Linked DNA regions of Cricetulus griseus. The protein of the gene in region 2 purifies or fractionates together with the protein of the main gene of each other region. This does not show direct contact. Links are inferred from orthologs where the notes say so. Each region holds a gene or a part of one and is shown on either strand. Other genes may lie near its edges. The genes, in order: Dlg4 and Kcnj4.

Region 1 (3,810 bases), on a different chromosome or scaffold from region 2:
CATCTGCAACGGGCTCCAAGACAGGGGACCTGGAGACCACCTGGCCTGCTTTCCCGAGAATGTCAAGGGAAACTCCACGTTCCACTCATCCCACAGCTTTTCCAGTTTCCCTACCTACCCTGTGATCCAGAGCTGGAGCCCCAGTCCTAGAAGAAAAACCAATCTTATGGTAGGTTCAGAATTTAGCTCAGAAACCACCCCCACCACTTCACCACCAAGCTCATCATCCACCCTCCACCTACCTTGGCCTTTAACCTTGACCACTCTCGTCGCTCAACCCTGTGGGATTACATGGAGGAAGAGCAGGAAATAGTAGGGAAATGCTCAATGACATCCCACCCTCTGGACCAGGTGGGAATAATATCTTCCTAGCTGCCCCTGGGCCCTATGTACCTCAGTGAGAAGTTCTTTCCCAGGGGCTGATGGGAGCCATGGTCCCCAGCAGGGTCTAGCACACACCCAGCCTGGGGGACCTAATAAACTTCAATGCCTCTATCAGGAAGGCTGCAGGGCCCCAGGAGCCTCACCGTCGTTTGCTGGGAATGAAGCCAATGTCATCGGTCTCACTGTCAGAGTGGACCCGCCGTGCTTGCCACCACTCTTCATCACTAGCGTCAATTACGTGAAGCACATCCCCAAAGCGGAAGCTCAGGGCCTGGCTCAAGAAACCGCAGTCCTTGGTCTTGTCGTAATCAAACAGGGCCCTATAGCACAAGGGACTATGGGTCAGGGACTGGCTGAGAACTCCAGGAAGGGTGCACCAGCCACCTTGAGAACCAGCCAGATTCTGGGCAAGGAAACTTGCCATACAAAGCATGGACTGCTGGCAGCACACACAAAGAAACCCCGAACCGTCTAAGGACTAAAAGCTCTGCCGAGTTTCTGAAAGAGCAAAGATGCAGAGAAAAACAATGTGACTGAGGAGAAGAAACAAGCCCCCAGGGTCATATAGTACCAGCTGGCAGTAAGAATTCTAACCCTTAGGGACCTACTAGGCTCCAACAGCGGGGGAGAGCATGGACGTGGGCCTCCGAGAAGGAACACAAGCATCCAGGAGAAACACAGCAAGCTCAGGCTAGGTTGTGTTGACTGTGACATGCCCATGGGACAGCCCAATGGAGATGGCCCAAAAACAACAGCCGGAATTGGTCTAGGCCTCTAAGCCGGTATCAAGCCAGGCCAGACAGCTTTAAGAGACACCTGTGTATAGCACAGGCAGCTAAGGCCAGCCAACTGGAAAAAGAAAGAGGCTGAAGGACCAAGGCAGGAAGAGGTAAGGAGGGGAAGGAAGTCCCAATGCCTTGTGAGGGGCCAGGCAGAGGATCCCTGAGATGGGGACAAATGCTGCTGGGCAGGCAGCGGGGGAAGCTGAGGTGTGTTTTCAGCAGTGGTTTCAGTGCGAGCCTAACATGCATGAGGCTCTGTCTGGATCCAGTCCCCAGCACAGGGGGAAAAATGGAAGGAAGGAAGGAAAAGAAAGACAGACAGACATACAGGAGGCACACACAAAGAGCTGCAGTCCTTTCCACTGAGGCTTCCCACAGGGTTGCCAAACTGAAAGACTCAAAATATCCCAAAGCTGGGCATGGTGACAAGTGCCTGGAGTCTAAGGCAGGAAGATTATTAAAGCACGGGAGTTCAAACTCACCCTAGGCAAGAACGGGGGAGAGGAGGAGGAAGGAGGGGGGAGAGAAGCAGAACGGGGAGGGAAGGGGAGGGAAGAGGGAGGGGAGGGAAGGAAGGAGGGAGAGGGAAGGTGCTAGAGATGCCTACTGTGTCAGACACTGAACTTAGGTCCTACTGTGAGAGCGCTTGGGGAAGCGCTTGGGTGACCAGGGCTAGAAAGCAATTAAGACACTTGGGGCAGGGGCTGTTTTTCAAGCTAGATAATATATTCTAGATTAGCCTATGCAGCCAAGTCTATGAACTCCTGAGCATCAGGTCTGGATGGGAGAGTAAAAGGCAGGCAGGATTTAGGGAAGGAGCTGGGTGGGGACTGGACGCGTTCAGGGGGAAAAGAACACACGGAGGCCTCAAGCATCATGCCCAGGGAGCTTCTCACCTGATATAGAAGCCCCTCTTGGGGTTGCTCCGTAGGGATGCAGTCCCTGAGCCCAGGCTACTATTCATAAGCTGTTCCCGAAGATCATGGATCTTGGCCTCGAATCGGCTATACTCTGAGGGAGGACAAGAAGGTTCTGGAATTCTGCCCCACCCTAATGCCACACACACACACCCCTACCCTCACTCCATCCCTGCTGAGGCCATCCATCAGCTAAAGTGACAGTTCTGAGGCCCATTTTAGCCAGTTAGGCAGGGAAGCTTAGACCTGGTACCTTCTGGTTTATACTGAGCAATGATCGTGACCGTCTGACCCGCGTTCTTCAGGGCAATGGCGGCCTGTTCATGGCTGGCATTGCGGAGGTCAACACCATTGACCTAGAAAGGGGAGAAGAGGCTGTCACCTAAGTCTCAGGGGGTCAGGGAATGGACTAGCAGGACCAGGCTGGATCCCAGCCAGCCCCTCCCCAAGAGCAGAGAGCTCTGTTTAGGGGGAAGTGCTGACCCTTGCACAGGCCTCTCTCACCGATAGGATCTGATCCCCCTTCCGCAGCTCCCCACTGAGGTCAGCAGGGCCCCCAGCAAGGATGAAGGAGATGAAGATGCCTTCACCGTCCTCGCCACCCACGATGTTGAAGCCCAAGCCTGTGGAGCCCCGGTGGATCACAATTCGCCTTGGTTCCCGGGGAATGTCTTCCTCCCCAAGCAGGTCCTTGGCCACCGGGGAGTAGCGCCGAGGGGAGGTGGGGGTCATGGCTGTGGGGTAGTCGGTGCCCAAGTAGCTGCTATGACTGATCTCATTATCCAGGTGCTGAGAATATGCTGAGGGAAGACAGAAATGGGTGAGGTAGAAATGCTAGGACAATAGTACCCACCCACCCAGTCTCTCCAGGGAAGCCTAGAGCCAGGCTCCACCAAGGAGCAGTTATTCTGCCAGAAAGGCATGTTGGTGACCAACAGCATCAGGGGTCAGGAATTTACAGATGACATCAAAGGTAATAATCTGAAGGTCATATGTCTTTAGTATGCCAGCAATGGTGAGACCAAAGGGAAATATTAGTACTATGCTTTTCAGACTGCCTTTTGGTTAAAGTGTCTCTCAGGTCTCTTAATCCATAAAATTTCTCTCCCTCGTGGCTATTCATTTACTTTTTTTTTAACTGTCTATTTTCCCACATTCTATGAGGGATAGTCCTGCTTATATCCCTGTGGTCTCAGTCCTGTCTCGGCTCCCTTTCTGTTTTCCTAGGCTTGTCCTAGAGGCTTGAGCAGACTCAAATTCATTGTGAAAATATTCCCCCAGGGGGTATTCCCACTACATGATCCTGTGCTTCCCACTACATGACCACAGGAAGCAATGTTGTGGGGCCACGCCCAGCACATTTGAACCCCAGCCCTGGGGAGAAGCGGTGGAAGTTCAGTGAGTTCCAGGCCAGTCGGACCTATGTGGGGTCATCGGCCCCATCGGCTCAGTACAATGTACTCTGTCAGCCTGCCCTAAGTTCTGGCAGGTGTCTAATCCTGCTATTTGCAGGAATTGCAAAATGTTAACATTCTACAATCATAAGTAAGATTCTTATAAAGGACTGCCCTACCTGATGATGGGTGTCGTGTTTGAGCCCACTATCCCACTCAGGAGGACTGCTGCAAACTGAAGGCCAGCATGGGTAACATGATGACTTTGAAGTCAGCTTGGGCTAAATAATGAGACCCTATCTCAAAATGGTAACAAACAGAAAACATGCACAC
Region 2 (3,879 bases):
GGTTCCCAATACCCATATGCCAGCCCATAGCTACCTATAATTCTAGTTCCAGGGGATCTTACAACCTTTCCTGACATTTATAGGCACCTGAACACAAGTAGTGCAGACACACACACACACACACACACACACACACAGAGGCACCTGCATTTATGTGGTGCAGACACACACAGGCACCTGCACACATGTGGTACATACAAACTCACAAGGGCACCTGCACACATATGGTGCACACACACACACACGCAGGCACCTGTACTCAGGTGGTACACACACACACACACACACACACACACACGCAGCCATCTGCACAGGCGTGGTGCGCATATACTCACAAGGGCATCTGCACACACATAATGCACACACAGGCACCTGCACACACGTGGCACACACACACACACACACACACACACACACACACACACACACACGAGCACACAAACACACATAAATAGAAACTAAAAGACAACTTAATAAAGTGAAGAAGAAAACAGGGACTAGGGTTAGTTTCACTTCCATCTCACTGGGTGACCTTTTGTGAACTTATGGACCTCTGTGGATCCTCAGTCTCCCTCTCCTATGTGAACTGGAGCCTTACTGACTAGGGTCCCTCCAAAACAGCGACCTCTATCTCCCCAAGTGGGAGTGCTTAGGATCCTTAATTGCTAGCGCTTCGGGAGGGAATACAGACCGTCCAGGAGAGGGTCAGGGCCACCTGGACCTCAGCTAGACCGATTCTCACCTACCCTCTCCTGGGTACGGAGAACCCTCCCCACCTGCCCACGGGGGGCCTCGCAAACCCGGGAGCGGATTCTCGGAACGGATTCCGGGAGGAGCGCGGCAGAGCGAGGAGGAAAACCCGGGCAGGATCCGGGAGAGAATGGGACGGCGCAACCCCCAAGACCCCTGCCCCAGTCGCCGGTCCCGGACGCGAGTGACCTGCCTGCGTGGGCTGGGCGCACCGGGAGGGCCAGGGCGGGGTGCGCCTGGGGCTGGAAGCCGGGGCGCGCGGCCTCCGCAGCGGGGCGCGGGTCACGTGTGAGGAGGGGCGAAAGTCTCCGAAGCGGGGCGCGTGCTGCGAGTTGGGAGTTCTCGGCGCGCCGCGGGCGGCGGGAGCTCGGGCTCCCGGGCGAGCCGGGGACGCGGCGGGGACCGGGTCCCAGACGGAGGGGGCGGCGGCGGGAGTGGGAGGGACGGAGACGGAGAAGGATACAGCCGGCCGAGGAAGCGGCGCGGGGCAGGAGCCGGAACGCAGAGACGAGGTCCACAACCCCGCGGGAGGAGAGGCGGGACCGAGACGCAGCGGCGGGGATCGTGCAGCAGGCACGAGGTGGCCACAAAGCCCGGCGACCCCAGAGCCGAACAGCGAGAGGGTCGCGGGGCTGTGGGTGACAGAGGGCGGCGGGACGCCCTGGGCCCCGGGACCCCACAACCTGAGCCCGGGCTCCACAATGCTACCACCCAGGCAGCGCCCAGCTCTTGGCGCCGGGCAACGCTGAAAGTTGCGCAGGAAGCAGCGCGGGACGGCGCGGAGACCCCGAGACCCACGGCGGCCTCACGGGCTAACGGCGACATCGTGGGCACCCAGCGCCCGCGCCCCGACCCCGGCGCCCCCGGACGCCGCCCGCCGGACTCCGTCGTGGGATGTAGTGGCCACCCGCCGCCCAGAACCGCCTCGGATCTTACGCCCCGGGGTAAGCTCGGGCTCGCCCACCGCGAGCGCTGTCAGTCCGTGAGTGAGTACGTCCCCATGCTTATCTAGCCGAGGGGGTGTCTGTTTGTCCTGCCATATGCATCCTGCACTCATCTCTCTGACCCGGGTCCAGAAAGGTCCCTGTGTGGTCCTGTGACTTCCCTGAGCTGCTCTGTCCATTTGTCGCTTATGGGTTTCGGCTGGCAAAAAGAAAGGAGATGGATGGAAGAGATCTTGACCTCCTGCCCTGGCAATGGCCCTTCTCTGCCCTCGCCCACCTCCATGCCAGGAGCTGCAAGGCAGGTGACTTGCAGCAAGATGGGAAGGGGGTGTCTCTACTTCCCACCTCCCACCTGCAATCTCTGTGATAGTTCTGAGTATGACAAAAATCCCCCTTCTGCTGTGTTGAGTACCTGCCTTGTGCCAAATAAAGCTAGGGTAGGTGAGAGGGGTGCATAAATGAGACATTTCAGGGTAGTTAGTGGTGGAAACTGAGGCTGCAGAGAGAGGGAAAATGCACCCCCTCTTCTGCAAGGGGAGAACACAGCAAAGAGTGATGCCTTGAGCTCCAAGCAGAGAGAGCTCCATCCCCCCACACCTGCAGAATGTCCCTTAACCAGGGTCAGCCTATTGCCACACACAACTATGTAAGGGACCCAGACTTCAAGACAGGGATAGGTAAACCCTGAGAGGCAAGCAACAGGGGCCTCCAGGCATCAGGAAGCAAGGTGGTTGGGCTTCACAGAGACAGTGCCTCAAGAGCAGGAGAGCACCAAGAAGTAGGTTGAAGGAGCTGGGAAGAAGAGGGAGTGTCTGGCCTTGGACAGAGAGGGGCTGGACCCAGAGATGCAATATACACTCCACTCCCACCCTCCATCCAGTCCTGCACCTTCCAGGACTTCTAGGGACCCAAGAGCCCTGAATAGGCTTGACTTGGCTTCTGAGAAGAGGAGCAAATGGGGAAGCAGGACACTTGGGGCAAGTGATTGCGTGCAACATGGTAGGGGCACAGCTGCTTGGCATGAGGCTGGAGACCGGAGGGCGGACCCAGAGCATTCAGCTCTATTCTCCCTTTGGAGGAAGGGTCTCTTCCTGGAGTTTTCCATACTGGGCATCATGCCTCCTATATCACTTGATCCAGGCTTTAGAAATGAACCCCAGCTAGCTGAGAAACTAGCATACTGGGTAAGCTATGCTACCCGAGCCTCTGCCAACACATATGTGGAATGGGGACACCAGATCTGCCCCACTGACCTCCAATGGAGGGCCCTGAGATCCGTGAGCAGAGTACTGGTGGGCTGGAGGAAGGGCTGGGCAGACGGGAGTAAGGACTCAATTTACTTTGACAGAAAATAAGTAGTTACCGAGTGGCAAGAATATGGCTGGACATACAGACTGACAATAATGGAAATGTCTAGGCATTAAATGGGGGACTTGGGACTTGGGAACTGTACCCAATGATCCCCTGTGTCATCCTTGAAGAAACAATTCCCTGGTGCGGGGGCTACATAGAGGTGACTGGCCAGACAGACGTGTCCGTGGTCTTCTGCTGGGGTGACCTTGGGCAGCTGACTTTTCTTCTCTGATCTCAGTTTGTACAAGTGGAAAATGGGAGTGTAGCACTAACTCCATTGAGATGTCAGTGGCTTGCACATAGTGTCAGGGCCCCTGAGAAGAGCTTGCAAAGAAAGCCAAGGCTTGCAGGCTCTCAAGAGACATTTGTGGATTGGAGGACAAAGTCACTCTAGGATGCTGTGGGAAGATTCTGGTCTTAGGATGAGAGGGAGGGGGAGGAGGAACTGTGTGGGCTACACAGGGCGGGCAGGTTCTTAATGTAGATCTGGGGGAGGCGGGGGCGAGTGCTAAGGGGGTTGTGAGGAGGAGGGGGCCCCTCTGCAGGGACCACTGAGTCACGAGGACATGTAAGCGACATGACAACCAGCAACATGGTAACCAGGAAACTAGCGGTGGGAATGGAGCTGGAGCAGTGTGTAGGGGTGGGGGAGGGTGGACTGGCAGCACCCAGGCTTGGAGGGTCCCTGGTGGGTTAGGCTGACTAGCCGGCAGGGGATGCAGGCTAGGGCAGGCTAGGGAAGAAAGGACGTGTAAGCAGAGGCAGAGGAGGCACCCGGGGGTCTGCTGGGCAGGGGGGCTTCTCTGGTACCTCCCCAGGCTCCTCTTCTCCT

What was found.
Region 1: the proteins of Kcnj4 (region 2) and Dlg4 purify together in Homo sapiens (affinity purification with western blotting, with the first as the bait; 3 studies listed by BioGRID). This does not show direct contact. The link is inferred for Cricetulus griseus from reciprocal best matches to the Homo sapiens genes KCNJ4 and DLG4.

The regions. Positions count from the first base shown.
Region 1 is NC_048600.1:83,885,962-83,889,771, reverse strand, and holds part of Dlg4 (disks large homolog 4), read right to left. Parts: intron 2,884-3,810; coding exon 2,588-2,883; intron 2,440-2,587; coding exon 2,337-2,439; intron 2,178-2,336; coding exon 2,063-2,177; intron 705-2,062; coding exon 528-704; intron 280-527; coding exon 243-279; intron 147-242; coding exon 119-146; intron 1-118. UniProt on the Homo sapiens protein: Postsynaptic scaffolding protein that plays a critical role in synaptogenesis and synaptic plasticity by providing a platform for the postsynaptic clustering of crucial synaptic proteins.
Region 2 is NC_048595.1:376,674,007-376,677,885, reverse strand, and holds the start of Kcnj4 (inward rectifier potassium channel 4), read left to right. Parts: upstream 1-1,070; 5' UTR 1,071-1,694; intron 1,695-3,879. UniProt on the Homo sapiens protein: Inward rectifier potassium channels are characterized by a greater tendency to allow potassium to flow into the cell rather than out of it.